4 linked regions of the Tamandua tetradactyla genome follow. The protein of the gene in region 1 binds, or shares a complex with, the protein of each later gene. Links are inferred from orthologs where the notes say so. Each region holds a gene or a part of one and is shown in the gene's direction. Other genes may lie near its edges. The genes, in order: MEAF6, MORF4L1, KAT5 and MORF4L2.

Region 1 (7,951 bases):
AAACAAATGGAATGATATTGGACATAAAGGAAGAAGCTAATATTTACATAATCCTTATTACTTGCTAAGCCCTTTATATATATTAAGTGATTTACTCCTTACAGCAACTGTTTTGGGTAGGTATAATTATTAGCTCCCTTTTACAGAAGAGAGAAGTTGAGGAAGTGAAATTTGGTTACTTGCTCAAGGTGGCATCGTTTATGAAGGACAGGGGTAAGATTTTGAGTCAGGTAGGTTTTTTTGTTTTTTTTTAATTTTTTTAATTTTTAAAAAAATATAACAACAAACGCAAACATTCTTAACTTAAGATCATTCCGTTCTACATATATAATCAGTAATTCACTATATCATCACATAGTTGCATATTCATCATCATGATCATTTCTTAGAACATTTGCCTTAATTCAGAAAAAGAAATAAAAAGACAGGAAAAAAATCATACATACCATACCCCTTACCCCTCCCTTTAATTGATCACTTGCATTTCAATCTAAATTTATTTTAACATTTGTTCCCCCTATTATTTATTTTTATTCCATATGTTTTACTCATCTGTTGATAAGGTAGATAAAAGGAGCATCAGACACAAGGTTTTCACAATCACACAGTCACATTGCGAAGCTGTATCATACAATCATCTTCAAGAAACATGGGTACTGGAACACAGCTCTACATTTTCAGGCAGTTCCCTCCAGCCTCTCCATTACATCTTTTTTTTTTTTATTAATTAAAAAAAATTTTTTAATGCCAAAAAATACCAAACAAATGCAAACATTCTTAACTTTTGATCATTCCATTCTACATATATAATCAGTAATTCACAATATCATCACATAGTTGCATACTCATCATCATGACCATTTCTTGGAATCTCTATTACATCTTGACTAACAAGGTGATATCTATTTAATGCATAAGAATAATCTTCAGGATAATCTCTCGACTCTGTTTGGAATCTCTCAGCCATTGACACTTTATTTTGTCTCATTTCACTCTTCCCCCTTTGGTCGCGAAGGTTTTCTCAATCCCTTGATGCTGAGTCTCAGCTCATTCTAGGATTTCTGTCCCACGTTGCCAGGAAGGTCCACACCCCTGGGAGTCATGTCCCACATAGACAGGAGGAGGGCAGTGAGTTGGCTTGTTATATTGGCTGGAGAGAGAGGCCACATCTGAGCAAAAAAAGAGGTTCTCTTGGGGGGGACTCTTTGTCCTAATTTTAAGTAGGCTTGACCTATCCTTTGTGGGGTTTAGTTTCATAGGAACAACCCCCAAGACTGGGGGCTCAGCCTATAGCTTTGGTTGTCCCCATTGCTTGTGAGAATATCAAGAATTCAACTTGGGGAAGTTGAATTTTCCCCCTTTCTCACTATTCCCCAAAGGGGACTTTGCAGATACTTTTTTATTCACTGTTCAAATCACTCTGGGATTTATTGGGGCATCGTTCTGGACAAACCAACAAAATCTCGTGCCCTACTCAAGGTTCCATGTGCTTATCGTGTTCAATTAAGCTATCTACATAAGTTACATTAGGAAATGCACTAGTCAAAATATAAATTTTGCACCAAATAAACATTTTTTGCTTTAGTCTCATACATAAGTTAAAAATTTTAAATATTAATTACCATCTATTTTCAGCACCCTGCAGTAATGACATTCCTTTGTTCTTCCTCATGCAAAAACATTTTTAAATTTGTACATTTAGTCACTATCATTATACACTCTAGGCATTCCTAGATTATACCATCTCAGTATTTTTTTTAATTTTATTTTTTTAAATACCAAAAGACACCAAACAAACGCAAATATTCCCACTCTGATCGCTCCACACACACAGTCGGCAATCCACAATATCATCACCATCTCAGTCTTTATTGTCTATCTTTCTTTCTGATTTCATTTGTTGAGCCAGGTAGTTATGATTTCAGTTTGTACTCTTAACCAGACACGTACTTGTCTGTCTAAGGCCTTATAACCATGGTAGCAACATCAAATTTGTTTTTGGAAGACCACCCCAGCACCATTATGGATAATGGGTTAAAAGAAGTCTGAAAGCGGAAATAAAGAGGCTGTTGGAATAAAGTAGTCAAAATAGGGCAACAACAACTTGGCAGATGAACTCACTGATCTCCCTGCTATGTGAGATATGACTTCCAGGGGCCTAAATCTCCCCGGCAACGTGGGACATAACTCCTGGGGATGAACTGTGACTGGCATCATGGGATTGAGAAAACCTTGACCAAAACAGGGAAGACAGAAATGAGACAAAACAGTTTCAGCGGCTGAGGGATTTCAAACAGGGTTTAGAGTTTATCCTGGAGGTTATTCTTACACAACATATAGATACTGTTTTTAGTTTATGGTGTATTGGAGTGGCTAGAGGGAAGTACCTGAAACTCTTGAACTGTATTCCAGTAGCCTTGATTCTTTTTTTTTCCCTCTTTTTTGGATTTTAAAAAAGGAGTTTGTTAAGTTGCAAGTTTACAATTCTAAGCTGTGAAAATGTCCAAACTAAGGCATCCAGGGAAAGATACTCTGATTCAAGAAAGGCCAATGGGTCCAGAACACCTCTGTCAGCTGGGAAGGCACATGGCAATGTCCGCTAGCTTTGTCTCCTGTCTTCTCATTTCATAAGGCTTCCCTGGGTATGTTCTCCTTCTGCTCCAAAGGTCTGTGGTTGTGTGGGCTGTCTCAGCTCTAAGGCTTTTTCCAAACTTTTTTTTCCCTTTTCTTTTTTTAACAACTCTTCACACACATACATTCCATACATGGTGTACAATCAATGGCTCACAATATCATCACATAGTTGTGTATTCATCACCATGATCATTTTTTTTAGAACATTTACATCATTTCAGAAAAACATATAAAAAGAAAAAACTCATACATACCATACTCCTCACCCCTCCCTCACTGACCACTAGTATTTCCATCTACTCAATTTATTTTACCCTTTGTCCACATCCCCATTATTTATTTATTTTTATCCATATATATTTTTTCACTCATCTGTCCATACCCTGAATAAAAGGAGTATCAGACACAGGTTTTCACAATCACAGCATTACATTGTAAAATTTGTATCTTTATACATTTGTCTTCAAGAATCAAGGCTACTGGAACACAGCTCAACAGTTTCAGGTAGTTCCCTGCAGCCACTCCAATACATCATAAAGTAAAAAGGGATAACTATATAATGCATAAAAATAACCTTCAGGGTAACCTCTTGAGTCTGTTTAAAATCTCTCAGCCACTGGCACTTTGTTTCATTTCTCTTTTCCCCTTTTGGTCAAGAATGTTTTCTCAATCACTTGATGCCAGCCAGGGAGATTTATACCCCTGCAAGTCATGTCCCATGGGGGATGGAGGGCAGTGAGTTCACCTGCTGAGCTGGCTTAGAGAGAGAGGCCACATTTGAGCAACAAAAGAGGTTCTCTGGGAGGTGACTCTTAGGCCTAATTTTAAGTAAGCTTAGCCGATCCTTTGCTGGAATAAGTTTCATGGGGGCAAACCCCCAAATCAAGGGCTCAGCCTATTGATTTGGTTGTCCCCACTGCTTACACAGAAGTTGAAGTTTTAAAATATGTAGGATGTCATCCTTACCCTGTGTTCTGATCTACCTTAGTCCTATCTAGATCAGCTTCATTCACCTCTCTACTCAAAGTCTGATTACTTTTTCAACTTTTTAAACAGTTCCTATACGGGGTACTGCTGACTTTCATAGCTTCATAGCTCTAACTCTTTGAGTCGCAGGTGTCACATAAATACCTGAAGTTTCTGGGAACAACCAGGTTACAAACAAACAGCTCAGGATCTCAGAATTTAGAAATAGCTGTTACAACTCCTGAATATATGTGACTACTGCAAGAGCTTACAATCTGGGACCCTTTACAATAGGCCCCAACCTGATAACCTATGTTCTTGACTTTAGTTCACCAAGTTTTTATATTATAGTCCATATGACTGAGACATAATATTTGTCTTTTTGTTCCTGACATTTCATTAAATATCATACACCTAGTTGCATGCCTCACAAGTCATTACAGCAGCCTTGATTCTTGAAGACAAATGTATAACTGTATAGCTTTCACAATGTGACTGTGTGATTGTGAAAACCTTGTGGCTGACACTCCCTTTATCCAAGGTACGGACAGATGAATTAAAAACAAACAAACAAAAAAAACAGGGTAGTGGCAGAGTTCTGGCCTGTCATGACGGAGACCCGGGTTCGTTTTCCGGTGTCTTCCCTTGTAAAAATAAATAAATAAATAAATAAATAAATAAATAAATAAATACACAAAATAATAAATAATAGGGGGTGGGAAAGGAGTAAAAAAATTGGGGTAGATTGCAAACTAGTGCTGAATGAGAGGGAGGGGTAAAGGATATGGAATGTATGGAGTTTTTATTTTGACTTTCTTTTTTCTGGAATGATGCAAATGTTCCAAAAATGATCATGGTATTGAATACACAAATATGTGATGATATCGTCATACCAAATTGTATACTTGGGATGGACTGTGTGGTGCCTGAAGGTATCTCAATAAAATATTTTTTAAAAATAGGGCAAGAAGGAAAGCAGCAGAGGGGATGGACAGAAGCAAACAGTTTAAGAGCTCTTCTGGAGTTGCGTCCACAGGGCTTGGAAATGGGATTAGGTTAAAGGGGTGAGGGAGAGTGAGGGTGATCCCAGGTTTTTGATTTAGGCAACTGGGAAGGATAATGAAAATTATTCACCGAAGAAGAGACTGCGGAAGTTTAAGGAAGAGCCTGTTTGGGGGCATGGTGAGTTTGTGATATCTGCAAAGGCCAGCCGTCAATCTAGGAGCAGAACACCAGACGAGTGGGATTCTCTCAGCAGGGCCAGCGAGAACCAAATGCCAGAACGCGGCTGGACGAGCGGCTCCGGAAGCCGCGCGCGCAGGCGCAGGGCGGCGGCGGGGCGCCCCCTCGCGGACCCGCGACAGCGCGCAGGGACCGCCCCTAGCTTCGCGCCGCCGCCGCCGCCCGCCTTAGCCCAACATGGCGATGCACAACAAGGCGGCGCCTCCTCAGATCCCCGACACCCGGCGGGAGCTGGCCGAGCTCGTGAAACGGAAGCAGGAGCTGGCGGTGAGCGTCGGGGGCCGGGGGCGCCCAGGTCGGGGCTCCGCTCCAACCCCCTCCCCCGGGCGCCAGCCCGGCGGCGTCTGGCCGTTACTCCGGGGGCGCAGCGGCGGGCTGGGACGCCGGCGGCCTGAGACCCGGCTGCCATTCCGTGGCCCGCGGCCGCCTCTGCTTTCCGGTTGTTCGGGTTCGGAGCTGGGACCCGGGGCCGGGCCTCGGGCCGGGGGGCGGGGCGCGGGAGCCGGGGAGAAGGAGGGGTTGGAGAAAGGAGGGGCGTGGAGGAAGGAAGGCGCCTTTGGGGAGGGGGCGGGCTGTGTGTGGGCGCTGTAGAAAGGGCGAGTGTGTGTGAGCCTGGGGAGTGGGGACGGGCGTGTCCGTGGCCCTTGGGGGTGGGTGAGGGCGGACGTGTACGCGATCTTGGAGGGGTGAAGGTAGGCGGGCGTGTCCATGGGCTGTGTGTGTGGGGGGGCGGGGGGCTCAGATTTGCCCCTGGATTTTGGGGAGGTGGGGTACGAGGAGGGTGTGGGAAGGGGATACTGTCTGACCTTTGGAGGATGGTCGGGGGTTCTGTCCTTTTGGGGACTAGGAGTAGATTCGTTGGATGGGGTATTGCACATCTAGAAGGTGACAGGCGAGGGGAGAGGACTCGGTCTATGGAGCTGGCAGTTGTGACGTGCACCCAGGGTCCTGTGCACCTTGGAGACTGACTGCTCTCCCCTCCCGTGTTTTGGTTTGGGCGTCCGGGAGGCCCGTATCACCTGAACCTATCCTTCCAAGTTTCCATAGCAACTGGCAGCCCAATGCTGGCAGCCTTTCTGAGTCAACCTGGAGGGAAGCGAGTAGGCTCAGGAAGACTGCCCACTCTTCCCTCTCCCTGGTGGCGAGACCTTTTGTGCGTGGTAGTGAAGGCTGCCCACGTTCTGCTTCAGCCCGGGTCCATGAACCTTCTGAAATATATGCGGATTTTTACATGTGTATGCGTTTTTTACTGAGGACTGACTCTACATTCTCAAGGGGTCGTTATGTCCAAAAGGTCAAGACTGCCCTCATCCTGAAAAGCCTGCCCCTCTCCATTATCATCAGTCTCTCCACAAGGGTGGTTTAGTGTGCTTGAGCACAGATCTTTGTCTCATATCCAGATTTCAGTTTGGGCAGACTTAATGTTTGCATTTAACAGGCATTATCCGTGTCCATGTTTTTCATCTCCCAGGAAACATTGGCAAACCTGGAGAGACAGATCTATGCTTTTGAAGGGAGCTACCTGGAAGACACTCAGATGTATGGCAATATTATTCGCGGCTGGGATCGATATCTGACCAACCAAAAGTGAGTGTCAGAAGCCTGTCGTGTTCTGCGGTGTTCTCTACTAATATTTGTTTTTAGAACTATATGTTTCTTTGGTACAACTTTATAGCGAGGCAGTAAAATGGTGGCAATAGAAAGAGGTTTGGGCTTGAATTGGACTCTGGCTCAACCACTCACTCCTTGAGTACCTTGGGCACATCCTACATTCATGGAATAGGGGCAAGGTGGAGGTATCACACAGGGTTGTGAGAGGTTTAAATGAAATACAGTATATGAAAATACCTTATACGAAAACACTGCGTTAGTGTTTTCCACATTTTAATCAGTCATGAGTTTTACCCTCACGATTTTTGCCATACCTGTGAGTCAATTATACCACTATTTATTTAATAATATTCTTTAAGACTTTCCAAAATGTTCAAATCAGTAAAAAAATTAAAGGACTAGTATATGAACACTAGATACTTATCTACATTCACCAATAGTGACGTGTTGCCACATTTGCTTTCTCTTTTCTAATACATATAAAGATGTATATATCTATACTTTTAAAAATGTATGTATTTTATTTTGAAATAATCACAGTCACAGGAACTTGCAAAAATAGTAGAGAGAGGTTCTGTGTACCCTTCACCAAGTTTTCACCAATGGTTGTGTTTTAAATAACTGTTGTAAAGTGTCAAACCAGTAAATTGACATTTGTACACATTTGTGTGTATAGTTCTATGCCATTTTATCACATATGTAGATTCATGTAACTACCAAAACAACTGAGATACAGAACTATTCTGTGACCGCAAAGATCTCCCTCAGGCTACCCCTTTATAGTCGTACCTCCCTCTCCTCCCAGTGCTTTTTTTTTTTTTTTTTTTTTTTGCTAAACCTTTTGAAAGTTAGATGCAGATGTCCTGACACTTTGCCTCTAAATATATCAGCATGTATCTCCTAAGAATAAGAACATTTCTCCTACCTAACCACAGTTATCACACTTAGAGAGTTGACATTGCAATAGTAGCATCATCTAATATACTTTTCAAATTTCCCCAGTTGTCAAAGAGAAAAAAAAAAGCCTTGCTGATTTGTTTTGTTTGATCCAGGATCCAGTCTGTGTTTGTGCATTGCATCTGTTTGTTGTGTCTTTTTAGTCTCTTTTAATTTAGGAGAGTCTCCCATCCTTTTTTTTTGTTGTTGTTGTTGTTGTTTATCACATAGTGTTGTAGAATGTACCACATTCCAGGTTTTTCTTTTTGTAGTCTCATAAAACTCATAAAGAGGATACATATTTTTGGAAAAAATCCTACATAAATGATGTTGCATACCCCTTGTTATATACCCATTTTTATATCAGGAGGCACATATAATCATATTGTCCCACTCTTGGTGCTGCTAAATTTCATTTCTCAGTTGTAAAAGTTCATTTTTTTTCTGTTTGTAATTAACAAGTAATTTGGAGGGTTATACTTTTAGGTAGTGTGAATATACTACTTCCTCCATACTTTTATTCAATGGTTTTAGTGTTCATGGTTGATTTTATCTTAGTTGT
Region 2 (7,368 bases), on another chromosome or scaffold:
GACCCAAGTTCAGGTCAGGAGGACGTCAGCCTCACAGCTCCTTCAGAAATGACACATGAAAATGAGCTTCATCTCAGGGGATGTTTTCTTCTTACTGTTGGTTGATGTTTCATTACTATTTGCGCTAAAAGAATATTGTCAAACATATACCAAATAAAACACATTTTATTCTTCCATGGAACTCATATTTGAAGATTTTAAGTTCACTGAATTCATAAATGCAGCATCTAAGAAAGTGTGCTAGTTCTCTGTGGTCTGCTTTCTTAACTAATAAGTAGCAAATAAAAGAAACACAGACCATGACATCTCACGTGTATGCAATGTGTGGCCCTCGTATGGATCCTGATTTGAACCAGCCGATCATTAAAAAAAGCATGGATGAAACACTTGGGGACAGCTGGGTGCTGACTGCCCACATGAAGATATTAAGGAATTCTTTATTTTTTAATAAGTTTTTTTTGGGGGGTGGGGTGGGGGCTGCATGGTCCAGGAATCGAACCTGGGTCTCCCGCATGGAAGATGGTATTCTGCCACTGAACCACCTGTGCACCCCAAGGAATTATTAATTTTTAAATTTAATAATGGTATTGTGTTAAAAAGGGATACTTGTATTTTAGAGAGACATACTAAGTTATTTATGAATTAAATAGATATGGCAGCTGGGATTTGTGTGCATGTATTGCTGGGGCTGCGGCAAGGAGAGGAGGGATGAGGGGTAAGAATGAAACAAGATGGGCTGTGTGTTGATAACACAGAAGCTGAGTGATAGAAGGAGCAGGATTCACCGTATTATACCCTCAACTTTTGTACATGTTTAAACATTTCCATAAAATTAAATGTCATTTGATTATGCAAAACCAAAGAGGCTTTAAGCTTCTCAACCCAGTGATCAAACTTAGCATCCCTAAAAGTGAGACATCCAGACATTATGTGCCTGCTGATGCCACGGAATGAAAAGTGGGTAGCATCACCTATAACATACTCTCGTCAAAAACTTTCAGCTTGAATCTAATCAACACTTTAGATCTCACTTTAAGTTTATAGGAACAGGAAAGAAGAAAAAAAGGTAAGGTAAACATTACTGACCGTGAGTAAATAATCAGGCAAATCCAGAATGTCAGATATTAAAATAGCCAATGTCATGAACAAATACTAATTCTAATACTAATGCTAATACTAATCCCAATGCTAATCCTAATGAAGATGTGTCATTTAGAGAGACTGACCCCTGGCAGTCTGCTAATGCCAATGTACTCTTTCTTAGAAATCTGTTTTTAAATGCAGAAAGAAAAAAAGCCCACATAGGTGTATAGAAGGTAAAATATTACATTGAAGTACAGTTATCAAAATATTTTTAGAATGCGATATGCTGGTGTTTATGCCTCAATATTAATGAATTAAATGACAACATCTAGTGGCATGCCTAATAATTCCAGTAATTTCAAAGTAGTGATGAATGTAAATATATTTTAAATATCTGCAAGAACTTTAACATGATATAAAAATATCTGCAATTTCTACTGGCGACAAAGTCCAGGGTGCTGCTAATGCTAATGTAGTTGTTACCTTCATTTTTAATGAAGGGAAATGCTATATTTCAACTAGAGTCAATAAAGAAGTAAATTTTTTCCTATTCAACCTTTGAATTTTCCTACTCACCTTTTGAATTGCATTCATAGACTCCGGTTAAGAATCTTTGGCCTAGTTGTAAAAAGATGTAGGGGATTTAACAACCAAATGTCATTTAATGGATCCTGTTTTGAAAAAACAAATATGAAAATATTTTAGGGATAATAGTGGAAATTTTAGTATGGAGTACTGTATGATTTTAGGGCATTACTGTTAATTGTTTTGTATGTAATAATGGCACTGCGGCATGTACAAGAATGCCTTTATATTTCGGAAATGCATACTGAAGAAGTCAGGCTTCAAGAAATCATGATGTGTACACACACGCACACACATAGATGGGAAGATGTTCACAATTGTTGAATTTAGATGGCATATATTATTATTCCATTTTCCTGTTTGAATTTTTCATAGTTAAAAGAAAAAAGTGATTTAAGATGCTTTTATTGAGGAATAATGCAGATATGGTGATATGAATTAATTGTAAATGTATGGCTTGATGAATTTTTACCTAAGGAAGCATTCATATAACTATACCAGATCAAGTTATAAAATATTTCCAGCACCTCAAAAGTTCCCTGTCCCCCTTTCCCAGTTAAACTCCCCTTCCATTTCAGTTAACCACTTCTCTGATTCTGATCACCATTGAGAAAGTGTCTGGTTTTTTTTGCACAATGTTGTAGTTTGCTGGCTGCCAGAATGCAATATACCAGAAACGGAATGGCTTTTAAAAGGAGAATTTAATAAGTTGCAAGTTTACAGTTCTAAGGCCGAGAAAATTAAGCTTCTGAATTAAGCAAGTCTATTGAAATGTCCAATCTAAGGCATCCAGGGAAAGATAACTTTGGTTCAAGGAGGCTGATGAAGTTCACAGTTTCTCTCTCAAGTGAGAAGGCACGTGGTGAACACAGTCAGAGTTTCTCTCTCGGCTGGAAGGGCACGTGGTGAACACAGAGTCATCTGCTAGCTTCTTCTCCTGGCTTCCTGTTTCATAAAGCTCCCCGGGAGGCATTTTCCTTCTTCGTCTCCAAAGGTCGCTGGCTGGTGGACTCTGCTTCTCGTGGCTATGTCGTCCTGCTCTATTGTCTTTGAATCACTTCATTCTCCAAAATGTTTCCTCTTTCATAGGACTCCAGAAATTTATCAAGACCCACTCAAATAGATGGAGACATGTCGTCACCTAACCCAGCTTAACAACCACTCTTGATTAAATCACAGCTCCAAGGAGACAATCTGATTACAGTTTCAAACACATAGTATTCAGTAGGGATTAGAAGAAACAGCTGCCTTTACAAAATGGGATTAGGATTAAAACTTCGCTTTTCTAGGGGATGCACATCCTTTCAAACCAGCACATGCAACATGACTTACCGACATAGTAAAACAAACTTCTAGAGATCGATAATACCATGTTTGGCAAGGATGTGGGAAAATAAGCCCTTTCTCAAATTACTGGTTGAAATGTAAATTGGTGAAGCCTATCATAGGGCAGTTTAAAATGCCCACACTCTGACTTAGATATTCTATATGCAGGGAACCTAAAAAAAAAAAAAAAAGAAAAAGAAAAGAAATGTGCATAAAGATGGAGGCTCAAACATATAGGTCTCTAATAGTGAAAAGATGGAATTAGCCTAATTGTCCAGCTACACAAGCGAGATTAATTCTGGTATATTTATAATATGTCATGAACTATTAAAAATGTGACTTAGATGGGTATGTGACTGGAATGATCACTAGGCCATATCATTAAGTTAAAAAAGAAGACACAGAACACATGAACAGCCCATTCATGGTAAGAAAAAAAAAACATAGGAAAGGGCTGAAAAAGATATACATACCAAGCAGTACAAAGGCAAATGGGGGAAATCAAAGGAGTTCCTTGAGTTTTGCCCTGCATGCTGAACTTCTGAGTTGCTGCATCAGATACAACCCACACACTCAAGTATTGCTTGTGTCACTAAAACGTAAAGGTAAAAACTATTTTAACTTTAATGTAAATAATAGACAAAATGCTAGGATAAAGAAACGGCACGGATACATAGGCGACTTTTGTTCCCAGGGGAACTAGAACAGAAATGACAAGGAGACTTTCCACTATCTCTGTTTTTATAATATTTAATTAAAACAAGATTTTTAAGGATTACGTATTCAAAAATTTGAAAAATGCATATGGAGTAGTTTTGTGGGGGGAGGGAGTCACAGAGGCCCTGGCCCCTTTCTTCGTGTGGTTAATAGCACAGTTGTGCCAAAGGAGTTGTAGAGACAAGATGATCCGTAATCAGCTGGAATAAAGAGCTCGGGTTACTTGTGGGTTTCTGTGATAGAACAAAGGTCGTGTAGGAGAGGGGGCTTGGAGGAGAAACAGGAGTCAGACAGACGGAGAGGGGCTTGGAGAAGCCACGGAGACCAGGGTGGACGGAGGAGCGTGGGAGGGCGGGTGGGGGCTGCAGACGCGTGCAAAGCCCAGGCGGAGGGATTAATCCTCGGGTTCACGTTGGTTGAGCTTTCAGCCCGTTAAGACACCACGCTAAGCCTTTAACACGAAGTCCTCACAGTACACCCCAGGAAGGGGCTACCAGCCCCATTTGGCAGCAGAGCAAACCGAGGACTTTGCGGTCAGGGTGGCGGGACGAGGACCTGGGAAGGCCGTTCGCGGCGACCGTGCGCGCATCCACGAGACCAGCTCAGCCCGCGACAAAAGCCTCCGGCCGGCGTCGCTGCCGTCTGTGCACACCACCGGTGCCTTCCCACGGGCGGTCCTCTGCCCTCCAGCGGCCGAGCTCCACCCCCAGACCGCGTCCCGCTTCGACCGCAGCTCCACCCTCCCGGCCGCAGGGCCGAGGCCGGAGAAGGAGGGTCGGCGCAGGAGACAACCGACCACCAAGCAGTTTGGGAGGGAGTTGGCCGCCGCACGAAGCTTCCGGTCGGGGACCCTATCTCCCACCGCCTTCCGGCCAGACTGCAGCCCCCAAAGCTTTCCTACGCACCCCCGACTGGGGACCTGCCACGGAAAGCGGGCTCACCGGCAGCCCTGACCCCTCCCCCGCCCCGCGGCGTCCCCATTTTGGAACTACCGTTCCCGGCGTGCCCCGGGGCGGCGCGGACGGAAGGGCGCCTGCGCGGCGGGCAACCGACGGCTGGAACTGAGGCTGCGCGGGTCGCGGGGCTGTGACGTCTGCGGGCGCTGGCAAATCGGGCGCGGGATGTAGAGTTGGCAGAGCCTGACGGCGCGGCTGACGCTGAGTTGGGTGGGGTAGAGAGTAGGGGGCGGTAGTCGGGGGTGGTGGGAGAAGGAGGAGGCGGCGGCGAATCACTTATAAATGGCGCCGAAGCAGGACCCGAAGCCTAAATTCCAGGAGGGTGAGTCCGGACGCGGGAGAGAGGCACTCAGCGGCGCAGGCGGGGGAGGCGGGCTCGGGGTGGGTGAGGTCTGGGGGCCGGGGGCGGCGTGGGCTGCGCCCCGAGAGGGCGGCGGGTGGCGCTTTGTGGGGACAGCGCATTGCGGAGGGGAGTCTCACTGCGTCATGGGGAGAAAACGCCGTGGGAAGCGGCAGCGCTAGGCAGGCGGTGAGAACTGCAGAGGGAGCGTCTTGCGCGTGGCGGACCTCGGCCGAGTGTTTGTTATTGTTCTGAAGAAGGGGGCGCGGAGAACGCAGCCTATTGTAGGGAGGCGACTGGGACGCCATGGCGGCGGGTAGGGGAAGTGATGTGGCGCGGGGGGAGGGGAGGCAGCGGCGGCTGTTTCGGGCGCCGGGGCGGGGTCGCCCGGCCTCGCCGACGGCCGGCTTCTAGCGGTCGAGGGCCGCCTGCAGCTCCCGGGTGGCCGCGTGCGGTGTAGACGCCCGGGTGCGCCGCGGGGGTGGGTGAGCGCCCCAGGGCGGGAGAACTGCGTTGTAAAATGGCCGCCGCAAGATGGCGGCCCCGCCGGGGCTGCCGGCGTCGCGGCCTCGGGCGGCAGACGTAGCTTCGGGGCGGATGCAGCGCCCCCCTCGTCGCGACCGCGCGTTTACCTCCGAAAGGCGGGTGGGACGAAAAAGACAGCCGGGAGCGGTGCCGCCGGCCTCGGGCTGCCTGAAGGCCTCTGGTCTTGCGCTCCGAGAGCGGAGCGCCGAGGTTTCCGTGAGGAGTGCGCGCTTCCTGCTGTGCGGCTCCTCGTGAAAAGGAAAGAAAAAAGCAGTGGCTCGTGTCTCCATTTCGAAGTCCTGTTGCCCGGATGTTAGGCTAACTGCAATTAGAATATGACGAAGAGTGATTTGAGAGCTCAATTGGCTTTTATTAGTTGCCTCTGGGTCAGATGTTTCGGCTGGCGTTAGCAGTGGGTGCTCGTGGAAGATGGGGCCTCCACGCGCGAGGAGGAAGTAAATCCTCTAGCCGAAAGGAACGCTTTCACGCCGGCCAGTTTTCATAAATGCGGATGTCCATACGCCCTGTATAAAACTTTTGTTTCAGGAATGTTCTCACATCGGTATGCGTTCGAATTACTTTTGGAGTCATGTAGCCAAAATCCAAGGGTATTATGTTTTTATGGAGTATTTAAGGGGTTTCCAAAGGTATTCTGGATAATGGTTCTTTTTAAATTGCTTTTAAAAGACTCTGTGACCGTGCTGTCATTTTTTGTTGTTAAAAAGTGTGGGTTTACAGAAAAATGATGCTTAAGATGCAAGATAACGTTTGTTATCATTGATGAAAGCACATTTTTATAATTGTACTATTGACTGTAGTCCGTGGTTTAACTTAGCCGTCACTGTGTTGTGCAGTTCGTTTTGGTTTTTTTTTAATTTTAGTAACATGTACACCCAGAAAATACTTAATACCTCCTGTGTCCCACTTGGAGAGATTGCGACTTTATCGTACGTCCTGTGGCTTCATTATCTTACTAGGTGCTTTAGACCAGGGATCCTTAATGTAGGGTCATTAGACAGAATTCAAAGGGTCCGGTGAACTTGGACGAAATTCTGTGTTTCAGTTATGATTGTAAGCCAAATAAAAACAGTCCACAGTAATATTAGCAGTACTGTGATTGTCGCCAGCAAAAATCAGTTATTTCCATATCGACATTGTGGTTACTGAATGCTCTTCATTACCTCAAAATGATAGTTATTGCATCAGCAGTTAAATCTTAACTAAGGAGCATGTGTAATACCATAGGAAATTGTACTTCAATGTTTTGACAACTACTATTTCAGTTACAGTTGGTTTTATTTGTATTTCAGAACATTCTAAGAGGAGGCCCATAGGCTTTAACAGGCTGTCAAGGGTCCATGATACAAAAAATTAATCCCTAATATAGGATATCAAAGCAGGAAAATCACTGGCATCTGAAACCATTTTACTCATGGCTTCCTGGAGGAAGTGTTTTATTTAGTTCTGAACTAGAGAGATGTAGAGTGAGGTGGGTAGAAGTAAATGAGAGTCCATGTGCTGCTATCCATAGTGGTTTGAGGAAGCAAGGTAGGGGTAAATTTTTGAAAGGTTTGCAAGAATCTCTTAACATCGTTTTCCGTGTGTGTTTTCTACTTTCGTATGAATACTGAATTCTCTAGCCATCTTTAGTAAATTACAGGTATTTATAAAATACATTCAGAATCTTTTGTAAGGAGGAAAGGAATATTCTGTTAATGCGAGAAGAATCATCTTGAAACACGATAGAAGAGTATATAATGATAGGGATATGAAATAACAAAATGAGGAGATAGCATTTTTTGCTGTTTATGATTCCTTTAAATTTTAAAGTTTTTC
Region 3 (7,232 bases), on another chromosome or scaffold:
GATGTTCCATCCTCCAAATCACTAATTCTATTTTCTGTCTCTTTAAATCTATCATTGTAGGTATCCATTGTTTTTTCTATCTTTTCTACTTTATCCTTCACTTCCATAAGTTCTGTGATTTGTTTTTTCAGTTTTTCTATTTCTTCTTTATGTTCAGCCCATGTCCTCTTCATGTCCTCCCTCAATTTATCGATTTCATTTTTGAAGAGGTTTTCCATTTCTGTTCGTATATTCAGCATTAGTTGTCTCAGCTCTTGTATCTCATTTGAACTATTGGTTTGTTCCTTTGACTGGGTCATATTCTCAATCTTCTGAGCGTGGACAGTTATCTTCTGCTGCTGGCATCTGGGCATTTAGTCAGATTTCCCTGGGTGTCGGACCCAACAAGGTTGTAAGATTTTTCTGTGAAATCTCTGGGTTCTGTTTTTCTTATCCTGCCCAGTAGGTGGCACTCGTGGCACACGTTTGTCTGCGGGTCCCACCAGTAAAAGTTGCTGTGGGTCCTTTAACTTTGGAAAACTCTCGCCGTCCGGGAGGTTCGCCAGCCGAAGCGGCTTGGAAGAGTGCCAGCTGGCCCGGGGTCCGAACGCGGGGAGGGTTGCTGGCCGCCGCCGCCTGGGAAAGCGCCCGTCCGAATTTCCTAGTCGGCCCAGGGTGCCAAGCTTGGCGGGAGGGCGCCAGTGGCAGCGGCCCGCCCGGGAGAGTGCACGTTCCCGGGGAGTCACGGGTTTGGAAGGGCCCCCCCCCCCGTCGCCGTTCTCCGCGGCCTGGGGATTTCCGATCCAATTCTCTCAGTTGGTCCGGGGGTCCGCACGTGATGTGGGCGCCAGCCGCCGCGGTTTGAGGGGACCGCCTGTCCAATTCTCCCAGCCGACCCGGGGAGGGGGCAGGGAGTGACTCTGGCCGCTTGCCGCCCGGTGAAGCCCGCGCCCCTCGGCGATCTCACCAGAGCGGGTTCTCTTAGCCAGCCAGCCGTTCCAGGATGGGGTACGCTGTCTTTTTTATCTCTGTCGTGGCTTTGGGAGCTGTTCTGTATCGCTTCTACTCCCCTAGTAGCTGTCCTGGAGGAGAAACTAAGATCCGCGCGTCTTACTAAGCCGCCATCTTCTCCGGAAGTCTCCAATTGCTTTCTTTTTTTGAGTATATAGCTGTTAGTTTTTTTGTTTTGTTTACATTTTCCTTCCACTTCTCATTCAAATTTCTCTTAAGAGGTGTCTCTTTGTGCTGCTTCCATTTCCTTGCCTCCCTCACACTCTGGCTTCTTCCTGTCCCCATGTCTGCAAGGAACTCCTCTCTGGGCTCTGTGAAGAACACCCCGCTGTCCACTCCAGCAGGCATTTTCCAGGCCTTTCTGCCATCTGTGCAGGGGATCCCCAGATCCAAGCCTTCCCTGTGGGCCCTCTGCCCAGCTCAGGCTCTCGGCCCCACAACCTTCTGGACATCCCCACTTTGAATCTAGCAAGCTCAACCACCTCACATCATTTGCAAAATACAAGGCTGTGTTCAGTTTTTCCATAAAGGGACTGTGATTTATTAGAATAAAGATTCTCCTTCCAAAGTAACTGAGACTCCCAGAGATCTTGGGTCTAGATGGAGAACTGCTAGCCCCCAACAGGCCAAGATCCCTATCTTTCTCTCACCACATTTTGTCATTCCTCAAGCTCCTGCCCCCTTCAGCCCTTGCCTCCACAGCTGCAAAAACTTTCTAGTTAGACTCAGGTCTCCACTCGATTGAGCCGTGTCCCCAATAATCCTTATTCACTCAGCTCACCTTTCTAAAACTTGAATCAGATAACACCATTCCTTTGCTCCGAATTCCCCAATGGCTCCCACTGCCTTTAAAGCAAAACATGGCTTTGATACAAGTGCCACAAAGGGCCCTGTGAACTCTCAGACCTCTGGATTATCCTCTGGGACTGTCTCCCTATTCACATTCGCTTCTCTCGTTCTTGGAATAAATGAACTACCCCCACCCTCCCTGGCTTCTGCACTGGCCATTCCTTCCCAGTGGGATCTCACCTTCCCCAGATCTTCTAATGCTGTCCCTTTTCATCATTAAGAACTCAGGTCACATGTTCTCCTTCAAGGGACATCCTGGCTGCCTCCTAACAGCCACTCCACTCTCCCCCATCCAGCAGCTACTGTGTTGATGTGACTGACCCACCCCAGCTATGCGAGTCAAAGCCAGTCAGGGTAGCCCTAGGCCCTTGATCACAGAAACTGGCTGAGACATTGGCAAATTCCCTAAGATGGTTCAACCCAAGGGGAGTTCAGGACTTTCCTGCCATAGCTGGGAAAGAGATTTCTCACTGGACATGACCATGGACACAGGTGGGTGGCCTTGGAGCTGTGGGCTGCAATCTTGCAACTGTAAAGGGGAGTCGGCCTTAATGTGGAAGAAAGGCAACCCCAAGGAGTTGGGAGTGGGAAGACATAAAGAAACCTGAGTTGCTGGTGACACTGTTGAGTCCGGGGATGACACCCTTCCTAAAGCTTCATTGTGCCTTTGGGCTTCATGGGACAAGACAGTCCCTGATTAGTCCAGCTTGAATGGGGCTTTGTGCTACTTGCAGGGGGAGCAATTTTGACAGACAGCTGTCCCAGAGACCTAGAGACCTGCACTGGCAGCCCCACCCTCTCTGACATTCTGTTTTATCATTTCACAGCACTTTTTGCAAACGATCATTTTTGTTTTGTTTTATTGAATTGTTTATGTCTGTCCCAATAAAGCAGGCACCTCATCTGTTTTCACTCATGTTGCTGTCCCAGGGTGTGGCACACAGTTGGTGCTCGATTAATATTGGTGCCCAAAACCAATATTCATGTGTTAACTTGGCCATGTGGTGGTGCCCGGCTGTCTGGTAGGGCAAGCGCTGGCCTGTCTGTTGCTATGAGAACATTTTGTGGACTTAAATCATGATCACATTGGCTGCACCCATAGTTGATTGCATTTATAATCAGCTAAGATGAGCGCCTTTTGAAATGAGGGTGCTTAATCTAATCACCGGAAGGCTTTTAAGGGGGATTCAGAAGAGACAGTCACTCTTCCTTCCTGCTTCAGCCAGTGAGCCTCTCCTGTGGAATTTGTCCAGACCCTTCATTGGAGCCACCAGCTTCACAACCTGCCCCATGGACCTTGGACTCTTACACTTCCATGGTTGTCCAGCCAGGCTTTCCTGAGAGTTCGTTGAGGACCTCATTGGAGTTGCCAGCTTGCAACCTTAGACTTTACATTCCCATAGTTACATGAGACATTTTATAAATTTTATATCTATCTCCTGCTGATTCTGTTTCTCTAGAGAACTCTACCTGATACAGCCCCCAACCCCTTTCTATAGCTAACAACCACCCATCCTCTAAGCCTTAGGTCAGGCATTGGAAGCTCCAAGACCCCTCCCTATATGCCACCTGGATCAGCATCTCTCCTGAGCCCCGGGTTGCCCACCTTACAGGATTAACTCCTGTCTGCCATAAATGTCAGTTCACATCCCTGGCTCTTCTTCAATGTCAGGTGCTTCATCCATTTGACAAGTTTTAGCTGGATGCCTCCTGTGAGTGTGACACTATTCTAGAAGCTGGGAAAATAGTGGAGGACAAAACAATAGAAACACTGCCTTCATCCCAGAGTGGGAAAGACAAACCAAATGAATAAGGAAAATGTATGATTTGATAGCTGGGGATAAATGCTCTGAAAAAAAAAATGAAGTGGATGAGGAATACAGGGTGGAGGGGAGCGTGGGGACAGGTTTAGCTGGGGATGTGAAAGAAGACCTCATTGGAAAGGGGGCCGTTTTGGTTTCCGGAGCTGCTTAAGCAAATACCATGCAAAGGGCTGGCTTAAACAATGGCATTTCAACAGCTCATAGTTTTGAGGTTAAGAAAAAGTCCAAATCAAGGCATCATCAGGGCAATGGTTTCTCCCAGAAGCCTGTGGCATTCTGGGGCTGGCTGCTGGAGATCCACGGTGCTGGGCTTCTCTGTCACGTGAAAATGCCTGTGGCGTCCTCTCCTAGTGTGCTGGTCTGAATCCGTGGTGGACCCCAGAAAAGCCATGCCCTTTGATCCTCATTCAATATTGCTGGGTGGGAGCATTTTGATTGTTTCCATGAAGATGTGACCCACCCATTTGTGGGTGGTAACCTTTGATTAGATGATTTCCATGGAGGTGTGTCTCCACCCACTGAAGGTGGAGTTGCTTGCTGGAATCCCTTAAAAGAGGAAACATTTTGGAGAGAGTCCCTTTTTGGTAGAGCCACGAGAAAGCCAGCAGATGCCGCCATGTTCGCCATGTGCCCTTCCAGCTGAGAGAGAAACGTTGAACGTCGTCGGCCTTCTTGAACCAAGGTATCTTTCTCCGGATGCCTTAAATTGGACATTTCTATAGACTTGTTTTAATTGAGACATTTTCTTGGCCTTAGAACTGTAAACAAGCAACTTACTAAGTTCCCCTTTTAAAGAGCCATTCCGTTTCTGGTATATTGCATTCCGGCAGCTAGTAAACTCGAACACCCACCATCTCAGTTCTCTTTTAGCTTCTGGTGAGTTCTAGCTTCTTACTTCCTCTGGCTTTCTCTTTTAATGTCTGAATTTCATTCTGCTTGTAAGATATAGATAGGATTAAGACCCATTCTGATCGAGCTGGGCCACGCTTTCACTGAAGTCACCTCCCCCAAAGATGTTACTTACAATGGGTTTGCACCACAGGAATGGATTCAGTTTGAGAACATGCTTTTCTGGTACTTACAGCTCTGAACCACCACAGTGCCTTTTTTTTTTTTTTTTTTTTTTTTTTTTTTTTTGGTGCATGGCCCAGGAATCGAACCTGGGTTTCCTGCATAGAAGGTGAGCATTCTACGCTGAGCCATCCATGCACCCCACAGTGACTCTTGAGCAAGGACTTGTATGATGTGAGGGTGTGAGCCCCGTAGACAAATGGAGAGAAAATGTTGCAGGCAGAGGAAACAGCAAAGGCAATGGGGGAGGTAGGCGCTTCCTGTGCCCCAGAAACAGCAAGGAGGCCGGTGTGGCTGGAGTGGGTGACGGTGGGGAAAGATGAGGTCAGAGTGGTAACTTGTGTGTGTGGGGGGAGATGAATTTGTGCAAGGACTCTGAATTTTACTCTGAATAAGCGGGAAACCACGGGTGGGTTTGGATCATCAAAGGGACGTGGTGTCAATTATATTTTTAAAGTTCCCTCCTCTCCTGCGTATGAGGCTATTGCAGTAGTCCTGGGTGCATCTGGGTGATAATGGTGAAAGCAGTGAGAGGATGTGCTGATGGGTTGACTGCAAACCAAGCAGAGAAATCAGGGATGACTTTAAGGTGTTTGGTCTGAGCACATGGAAGGATGGATTCGTGACTGACACGGACAAGAGAGATGGTGGGACAAGCAGGTTGGGAATGAAAATCAAGGGTTTGGTTTTGGACACGCCCTTCAGACATCCAAGTGGAGATGGTGAGTGCGCACTGAGTCTGGAGATCACGGGAGAGGTCTGGGCTGAAGATATAAATGTGAGAAACCTCAGCAAGTGAATAATACTGAAAGCCATGAGCCTGGAGGGGATCAAGAAGGGAGCAAGTGTAGATAAAAGTCCAGGAAGAGGACCCAGCAACGGAGATGAGGAGTGGCAGAGGAAGGAGGAAGGAAACCAGAAGAGTGTCGTAGCCCAGACGCCAAGAAAAGGGTGTTTCAAGGAAGAGGGAATGGCCAATGGTACCAAATGCCACTGAGAAGCGGCCATTAGATTAGACGTGTGGATGGGAGGGGCTGTCACGAATGACCTTGGCCAAGAGGCAGGGCTGAAATCTGCCTGAAGTTGATTCGTGGCAGACTCTCAATAAACATTGTCTGCATCAGTGAATGACCAATTTCAACTGCCTTCCTTTCGGTCTCCCTTTCTGTTCTGACTGCCCCAATTCTGGGACACCGCCACCAGGTGATCTCAGCACAGATGCAGTCTTTCCCCAAATACAACTTCAAAGCAAACCCTGGTGGGATGAACATGTGAACAACTGGCATAAGGATCATCTTTGTGGGATCGTTTGCAATAGGAGAAATTGGACACAACACGAAACTGGCTATGACAGCTAAGAGGCATCTAAGACAACAAAACACTGAAAAGCCATTAAAATAGTGCTTCAGATACCTCACAAGGCTTCAAGTTTACACTGCTAAGTGAACAAGCTGATAACAGCAGAGTGCACACAAGAAGAAACTATTTTTGTGTTGATCAGAAAATAAAGCAGGGGTTGACTAATGGTTTCTGTAAAAGGCCAGACAATAAATATTTTAGGTTTTGTGGGCCTTGTACTCAGTTTTAGAGTGAAGAGAATCAAAGACAATATATGAACGATGAAAGTGGCTATGTTCCGATAATACTTTATGGACCCTGAATTCTGAATTTCATATAATTCATGCAATTTCACACAATGTTCATGAGCCACAAAAGTTCTTTTGTTTTTTTTCCCCAATATTTAAAAAAATTAAAATCCTTCTTAGCTCATAGGCTGTAGGAAAGCAAGCAGTGGGTTGGATTCGGGCTGGTGGCCACCATTTATCCACCTTTGCTTTACCGGAGAGTCAAAATGTTCACGGTGTCCATTGCCCCGTGATGATGTGAGTTTGGGCTTTCTACTCCCTTACTGTGGTCTGTGTTTTGGAATATTTTCCCCTCAGATATGTGCATGGCTCATTCCCTCACCCCTTAAAATCTTGGCTCAAATAATACATTGTAAGCCACCTGCCCAAAGCACTCTAAAATTGCAACTAAACTTTAAAACTTACATTGCTCGATTTCTTTTTTGTTTTCCATCAGTTATCACTCTTTAATATCCTAAACGATTTATTTTTTCACTGTGTTTAGTATTTACTATTTCTATCGCAAAAAATGTAAGCTCCATCAGGGCAGGGGTCTATTTTGTTCGCTGATGTACTCCAGACTCTTCGAATAGTGCCTGACACATGGAAGGGACTCGCCATATATTTTTGGAGTATATGAATGAATAATCCACACATCACTCTCTAAAATCAGAAACCTAATATGCAAAAGAACAAATCTAGACATCTTTGTAAGTCCTCATCTCTAAGGGACGAAGGCCACATATTTGGCCCGGCATGCAAGGCCCTTCCCAGTTTGAGTCCCACCCACTTCTCCAGCCGGGAATAGCTGCCGCCCCCTCTCTAGACCCCCTAGGTCCGCTCAGACACTGCACGCCCCCGCCGGACACACGCA
Region 4 (8,010 bases), on another chromosome or scaffold:
CAGCATTGTACTTTTGAGGAATTGCCCTTGCTCTATTCTCTGTCCCCAGTTTCTAATCGTTTTACCTTAACCTCAAGATCTTGAAAGAGAATGTCCTCCAAAGACCCTGAGTAGTGCCCCACCTCTCCAACCATATCTTGTCACTCCTAGCAGTATATGGATATCCTCATCTGTTCAGTCACACAGTAAAACACAACAACAACAAAAAGAACAAACCTATACAGTTTTCAATGGGTACCTTATGGAGTCTGCCTTTCCAAGCTGAGCAGTCAGATTTCAGGTCCCTGAACGTGTGTGTGTGTGTGTGTGTGTGTGTGTGTGTGTGTGTGTGTGTGTCATGAATTTGCCTTTAGAGGGTCTATCTGCTCACTTTTAAAACCTGCAAATCATATATATGGGGCCTGGAGCCTTCAAAAAATATCCTTTGAGGCCCTGACTGAGGACCTCTTTGCCACATATTCTGCTCTTTGCTATCCTCCTTTCTTAGTAGCTCTGCCCTCTCCAGCACTCACCTGGAGTGAGAATGAAGTCCTTTAATGCTCCTAATTCTGTCTCTTGCCCCCAAATTCCCTTTGCCTGGGTTTCTTGCCTGCTGGTGAACAGTTTTTCATCAGTTAGCCAAGATTGGCTTCCATGATTTTCAACCTCTTCCTACTCTCAAACACCCAATGGATATACTATTTTTCAATGACAATGCCACATTAGAGCAGTGCTTCTTTGTGGCATTGTCATTGAAAGTCATTGGTAGTCAGAGGGTCTACCAGACCCTCCGAGGGGTCTGGTAGAGGGGGGCTGCAGGAGGGAAGAGATTCTCCTTCTAGGAGAACTTACCAAAATTTCTGAGAAAGAGACTTTTTCAATCTAAAATAATCTACCTCTCCAGATTTTCATGTGATATATCACTACCAGAGAAGTGTGTGTTCTACCCACCCTATGGTTAGGAAGGACTCCCCTAAAGAGAAACCTATATGTTCTCTTCCATAGAACAGATCAAGCCCTTTAAAAAAAATTTAATTTGGTAACCTTCAAAAATACTAAGCTACAAAAATACACAGAGGTAGAAAGAATGGTATAATGAGCTATCATGTTCCCATCATTAAGCTTCAACAATTTAGAGGCAGTACTTTAAGTAGCAGTAGTTTGTTCTCTTTTAATAATATGACAGCTGATCTTTTCAAAACACATACCTTTTATCATTCACAGTGGAATGGGGACTGTAGGTGAAAGTTATAAGCATAAACAAATGTATCACTGACAAAATGGTTCCAGGAATCCTCATGAGGCAATGCACATATTGTAGGAGTCAGCACTCACTGGTGGGAATTAGTTCTCATCTCTGCTAGTTATGCACAACATGGATGATTTCAAACAATTATTCCAAGTGAAGCCTGTGGTTCTCAAAACCACAAACTTAGGTTTTGTGACTCAGGAAGGGAAAACCAAGAGATTAATGTGTAAGTCTGGAATCCCAAGGCCACCCAAGAACAACAATGATTAGGTTCAAGTAGAGATCTTAGTGTTTTCTTCCATTTGAAGTAACCTCTTTTTGCCAAAAGAACGGGGGGGGGGATTTCATCTACAGGAGAGAGTAGCTAGAAGAGAATAAAACCCCTAAAATGATAAAGCTTTCCAATGTCTAACTTCATCTTCTGCTCTGGCTGTCAAAGGCTAATGAACTAGATGGATCCAGACTAATTTGCTGAATTGGTTTCATGAAATCTCTTTGGAATGAGGCAGGTATAAACAGATAAACAGAAAAATATCCTTATTAAAGATATAGCATTTTACTTAGCCTTGAATATTAGGTTTTCCTTTTAGCACATATGTTAAGCAAATATTCTTTTAAAAATCATTCCATAAATCAGACAAAACCAAATGAAAACAAAAATCAAATTACCCTTAGAATGGACCAATTTCCATTCCTACCCAGAAACCACAGGGTGTCCTTCCCAGCCCCTCAGAGCAGACAGACCACTACTTTTCAAATCTAGTAAGGATCTCTTAGCCACTAGACAAGACAAGCAATGCCAGCAGACACTGTTGGGTAGGTTGCACCTTGAACAAGGGTGCCCAACTGAGAGGGCAGAAGTGGGGGCTGAAATTCATGCTTTAACTACCCTGATGGAGGCTGTAACATCTCAGAGAGAGAGAGAAACATTTTTTTCTAATTATTCCACTGGAGTGGACACTTTTCTGAAATTTGTTCCCAGGTGGCACGTTTCTAATTAGCACAAAGGTACTGTATGAGCTAATGGAGACCTTGATGATAAACACAGGATTCTTGCAGTTTCTAGAAGCCCTGTGAAGGCTGAGACCATAATCTGTCTGGCCTTGGGCACTGGAGCCAAACAAACACTGATCAAAGCTATCTTTTCCCTTTCAGTTGCAACAGATAATAAAGACAGCAAATCAGGTATAAATTCAAAAGGAAGACTAACATTTTCTGGGGACCTGATAAGAGTCAGGAATCTGCTGAAGCTCTGCCCCACTAGTAAGTAAAGGAGGCAGGAGAGTATTCATATTTGAGAGGGTAGCATGACTTAATGGGACAAGCATGGGTCTTGGAGTTAGAAATCTGAATCCTCACTCTGCCATTTACTAGCTGAGCAACTTTGGGTAAGTATTTAAGTTCTCTGGGCTACAGTGAGGATTCATGAAGATAACAAAGATAAAGAGCTTGGCACTTTAGGAGGTATTCAGTTCCTGCTATCACCCTGACTCCAAAGTTCATTAACATTATTCCCACTCTTGGGCTTGCAACTTCAGTAAGCAGAGTAAAGCATAAGGATAGGTCTGCTAGACAGAATACTGGAATAGAGTCAGGAGATGTGAGTCTCAGTGTGAGACACATCCCTGACACAGTACCTTGGGTAAGTTACTCCTCTCTTCTGACCCACCAATAACACAGAACACCCCAAGCACTGACTCTGAGAGGAAAGAGCAGAGGAAATCATTTTTCTTGGGTACCTATCATGAGACATGTGCCATACTAGGCCTCTAACTCAACGCTGCCCAGTAGAATTTTCTGTGATGAGGGTAATATTCTGTATCTACACTAACACTATCACCAGTAGCTGGACATAAGTAGCTATAAAGCCCTTGAAATGCAGCTAATGCAATTAAGGAACTGAGTTTTAAATTTTATGTCTTTTAAATAGCCACCTGTGGCTAGTGGCTACCATAGTGGATAGTCGAGCTACAAGATTATATGCAGGAATATTTGTTCTCCTGTAACATATGGTGAAACTGAGGCTCAGAAAAATGAAAGAATTTGTTGAAGGTCACTTAAATATTAAGTAACAAAACCAGATTCAAAACCTGGGAGTAGAAAGTTTAGCGGAGTAGCAGGGTCACATATACCTGTGATTATCTGGATTTCACTATTTACAAATTGTATGACCATAAGAAAAATACTTACGGTCTCTAACTCACTTTCATCATCTGCAACACAGATCTAAACTAAAAAAAGCTAGCTACAGGGTAGGAAGAGTATTTTGAGAACTATAACAACAAGAAGAGAAACACTCAAACTTTTGTGTGATTTCCTATTGTAAAATGAAGAAGAGAGGGAGAGTTAAAATCATCAAAACATTTCCATTTACCTTGTTTGAGTTCCTGCCCTCTTCTTGACCCTCTAGTAAGCCAAAGCAGGAACAAGGTATCTGTAACACATTTCAAGGCCCAGAAAGCCAAGCTACAAACGGTCAAACAGAGTACTGTTAAGGGCTTGAGCTTGTGAGGCAGGTAGAATTCAAATTCTGGTTCCCATACTTGTCATGTGTACTTGGGAAAATAATTTGACATCTCTACACATTAGTTCCTAATCTGTAAAATGGTATTGATAGTATGCAGGGGGCCCTAACAATACATTGACATCACTTATTATTTTGCTTTATATTCCATACCACCCTCTAGTGGTACAAACAAAAATAAGCATTGCATTTCTGCCCTCTAAAGCAGTGGTTCTCAAACTTTAGTGTGCATCAGAACACAGCTTGTAATAGCACACACTGCCAAATCCCAATCCAATAATTTTTCATTCAGTAGGTTTGAGGCAGGGCCCATGAATCTGAATTTTAACAACTTCTCAGGAGATGCTGACACTGCTGGTCCAGAAAACACTTTGAGAACCAGTGTTTTAACCTTCCCCTTTTACATAAACAAATACACGTATATATGTGTATGTGGGTATATATACACACACACATATATATGTATGTTTATATGATTGATAGCTGAAGAGGTATGATTTTCTTGTTTGATTGTTTTTTGTAGCACCACCTAATAAGGATTTTATGAGGAATAAATGAGACTATCCATTTGAACATAGAATCTAAACCTTAGAAAGCATACAAAAAGTGAGGATCATGGAACATACATTGTTTGTCCAGTGTCACAGGGCTAATAAGTCATGAAATAGGTTTCAAAGCTAGATCTCTAATTCGAAAGACACAATACATTTTAGCAGCAGCACTACTAAAAATGGGGTACAAACACATAACACATAAATCTGAAAAATTTTTCAAGAGGAAAGGAAGATCAGTGTTCAATACCAAAGTCCAAGTTTTATCTCAGAGTTGTTATCTATCTTTACTGACTAAACAGCCATCTGTATTTTTCCTTTGGAGGGCGGGAGTTGTGAGAATGTGGGGGAAAAGGTGAAGAGAAAGGGATAGGTTGTTCATCAACACCAGTGCCTGAGGTCATTTATAAACTCTGACAAAAGAAGGAAAGGAATAAAAGAGAGGGATGGAGGGGGAAAAATTAAAAAGGGACGGTAAAAAAAGGAAACAAGGAAAAGCATGTGAATCTTGAGCCAATAAAGGTTGACTTAATTTTAATTGTTCCCTAGAAATGAAAACTATATACCATCACCATAGATTGACGAGTTCAACAAATCCCACCGAGGTTGCGGGTGGGGGGCATGGGGGTGGGGGCAGAGGAGGTGGAAATCCCATAATTCCAGGGCTCAAAACAGCCAATCCTTTGCTGGGATTTGGCGGCATCTAGTGGCAGCATCTAAATGTATAAACCTCATCCAGAGAACTTTCTGGAAAATTAACTGAACGTGAACTCGCCTGAACAGCACTGTTGTTGGAGATCGACAAAAAGGTAAGAGAACCTCAGCCCCCACAGAAATTCAGAGTCCATAGTGGAAGGGCAGGCTGTCGTATGTAGTTATTCCCCACAGAAAATTGTATTTGTGCCAACAGAATGGCACGTAACTTTCTGGGCGGGGCGGGAACAAGAGTAAAGGATACTGGATAAATGAAAGAAGCTGCCCCCTTAGAATTGCTAATTTGGGAATGGAAAGGTTTGGCGTTTTTTTTTTTTTCCTGGTAACGTATATACAACCTTAAATTTCCCCTTTCACAACATTCAAATAAATGATTTAGTGTTGCTAATCACATTCACCACGATCTGTTACCAAAACTTTGCCATCTCCCCAAACCGAAACTGTATACCAATGAAGGTTTGCCTTTTAACCATTGGAGGGCTATAGTTTAGAACAGGATTTTGATACTGAGAAAAACGTGTGAAGAAAGTGTATTAGAGTCTAAAATTGAATTGATGGGGCATACCGAAATACTGATATATATAACAAAGGCCCTTTTTTCTGTTTCGCTGCTTGACTTAATTGGTTATTTCCTTTTTCATTACAATAATTTTCAAACATATACCACAGTAGAGAATGACCACTATAATAATGGTATATAATAATGATACTATAATAATGCTTATATAATAAGCACCCACACGCCCATCTAATTCAACAGTATAAAAGAACAGCTCACCTATAAGAAACACACACACATCGCTTGTTTAGGGACAGACGCGCGTGCTCGCACACAAACGCGCGCGCACACTCGTCCAAAAACAGAAGCCGGCCCCAGTGCTTAGGGCGCACGCTTATCTGCCAGCGCCATGAGCGTCTGCGCACACACACAGCCCAACGCAAGGCCACGCGAGTTAGTCCGCGTACACCCACCGACCCCAACGTCACGCGCCCGCGACACCCACCATCCTCACTCACACGCACATAAAAAAACTCCAGCGGCCTTTTTTTTCTTTTTGCTCAGATCGTTGCGCAAGAGGTTCGGGGGCGTGGCCCCAAACTGGACCAACTGCTTCCCCACCTGCAGGAACCTTAGCTCATTTCCGCCCATCCGTTTCCGCAGGCCACGTAGACACTTCCTTTCCCAGTGGGGGGTGGGAGGAACCCATAATCCTTCCCTGCAGGAAAAAAAAAAAGCAACCTTCTGATCGGGGGAACTCTGGGTTGTGAAAATAGGCCACGTGAACATCCTGTCCTATAGACTTATGACCCAACGGCTGTCGCCTTTTTGGAAGGTGGGCTAAGAACCTAAGAGGGCGGGCATGATTGGCTGCAGCGCGCACTAAACGAGAAAGATGATTGGTTTCCTTCAGACCTTAACCGTGAAGAAGCGGTTGCTAGCACCCCCCTTTACTGCGGCGAAGTGTCATTGCTGACGTGGTGGTCTTCGTCCAATCGTTTGGTTATAGAACATTCTAAAACTTAGAAAAGACGAATTTGATTGGCTGAAGGATGTAAGCCCGCCTCCAGGGTGACGTGTCTGCCTATGGATATCAGTTGCCAGAGAAACCTGGCTTTAGTATGGCGGTTGGAGGAACGGCGGTGATCACACGTCGGCTGCTGGGAAGAGCTGGATTCGCGTTTCAGGTTTCGGGGTGGGGGTGGGGAAGAAGGGTCGATTATTTCCCTTTATTTTCATGTATATAGATAGGATTACCTAATGGCTTTACAATCATATAGCGTTGGGTTTAAATCCCTACTCGCCAACGCCCAGCTTGGGCAAAGATCATGTTCTTTCTGTGTCTAGGTTTCCATGTTTGTAAAATGGTGATAATAATCGTATCTACCTCGGAGATGTGTATTGAGGGTTAAATATAATAGTACATATAAGGCACTTAATACGAAGCCTGGCTCCTAAGGATATTAGCCATTATTATGGAGATTAAATTCCCACGTAATAGAATGAGAAAATAGAGCATAAATTATGCAGATTTGCTTATTATACTGCCTTACCTGCCCATCAACTTCTTCTGATGAATTAGTAGATCATAAGAAACATATCATCTCTACCATTAAAATAATATGCTACCTGAGATCTGCTTTACAATAGTGGAGGTGGAGATTTTCCATATTGAAAAGTTAAAAAGAGACGGAGAACGAAAGCTGGAAATCAACCACATGCAATGAGTAGACCTTGTTTGAATCCTGATTCGAACACCCCAACTGTAATAGATACATAGGGAGAAATTGAACACGGATCCAATATTTGATGGCTTTTTTAAGAAATTGATAGCGATATTTTAGGCGTTGTAATGGGAATGTGGTTATGTTTTTTAAATTATTTATATCTATACAGATATATACTAAAATAGTTGTAGATTAAATAATATGCCTTTATGTTGATGACTAGGATTTGCTTCAACATAATCTAAGCAGAAGGAAGTGGGCAGGGGTATAGATGAAACAGATTTGCCCTGAATTAATAGTTTAAGCTGAGTGATGAGCCTTTGGGATTCTTTATATTATTCTACTTTGGTATGTTTTTGGAATTTTCCATAATATAAAAAAGTCAACTATTCCGTGAGCTTAGGAAAAAATGGGGGGAGGCTGGTGGGTGGGGTTATAGATGAAACAAGATGGCCTTCAGCTGGTAATTGTTGAAGCTGGATGATGGATTCATGTGGGTTTATAGTACTGGTCCCTCTAAATTTGTATCCATTTGAAATTTTCCTTAATAGAAGACTTTTAAAAATTACTATATCAAACAACTAGAGCAAAGATGCTCAATAAAGTAAATTTGAAAATGTAACCACAAGGAAGCAAAAAGAAACACTGATACATTATTTATCATCTTTGGTGTCCTTTGTGTGAGATAAAATTCATTGGTTGATGGAGAAGAACTCCATCATCTCATATCTTTTTGTTTTGTATCCTTTCCTGTCCCCTTGTTTGAT

Evidence for each region.
Region 2: MEAF6 (region 1) and MORF4L1 share a complex: the UniProt entries of both Homo sapiens proteins name them as parts of the nuA4 histone acetyltransferase complex. The link is inferred for Tamandua tetradactyla from reciprocal best matches to the Homo sapiens genes MEAF6 and MORF4L1.
Region 3: MEAF6 (region 1) and KAT5 share a complex: the UniProt entries of both Homo sapiens proteins name them as parts of the nuA4 histone acetyltransferase complex. The link is inferred for Tamandua tetradactyla from reciprocal best matches to the Homo sapiens genes MEAF6 and KAT5.
Region 4: MEAF6 (region 1) and MORF4L2 share a complex: the UniProt entries of both Homo sapiens proteins name them as parts of the nuA4 histone acetyltransferase complex. The link is inferred for Tamandua tetradactyla from reciprocal best matches to the Homo sapiens genes MEAF6 and MORF4L2.

The regions. Positions count from the first base shown.
Region 1 is NC_135328.1:187,799,944-187,807,894, forward strand, and holds the start of MEAF6 (chromatin modification-related protein MEAF6), read left to right. Parts: upstream 1-4,944; 5' UTR 4,945-5,019; coding exon 5,020-5,109; intron 5,110-5,881; exon of another isoform or gene 5,882-6,073; coding exon of another isoform or gene 6,074-6,136; intron 6,137-6,313; coding exon 6,314-6,429; intron 6,430-7,951.
Region 2 is NC_135340.1:94,397,749-94,405,116, reverse strand, and holds the start of MORF4L1 (mortality factor 4-like protein 1), read left to right. Parts: upstream 1-4,351; 5' UTR 4,352-4,949; coding exon 4,950-4,989; intron 4,990-7,368. UniProt on the Homo sapiens protein: Component of the NuA4 histone acetyltransferase (HAT) complex which is involved in transcriptional activation of select genes principally by acetylation of nucleosomal histones H4 and H2A.
Region 3 is NC_135335.1:8,814,750-8,821,981, reverse strand, and holds the start of KAT5 (histone acetyltransferase KAT5), read left to right. Parts: upstream 1-4,221; 5' UTR 4,222-4,270; coding exon 4,271-4,344; intron 4,345-7,232. UniProt on the Homo sapiens protein: Catalytic subunit of the NuA4 histone acetyltransferase complex, a multiprotein complex involved in transcriptional activation of select genes principally by acetylation of nucleosomal histones H2A and H4.
Region 4 is NC_135353.1:70,023,635-70,031,644, reverse strand, and holds the start of MORF4L2 (mortality factor 4-like protein 2), read left to right. Parts: upstream 1-5,001; 5' UTR 5,002-5,112; intron 5,113-6,040; exon of another isoform or gene 6,041-6,336; intron 6,337-6,525; exon of another isoform or gene 6,526-6,703; intron 6,704-8,010. UniProt on the Homo sapiens protein: Component of the NuA4 histone acetyltransferase complex which is involved in transcriptional activation of select genes principally by acetylation of nucleosomal histone H4 and H2A.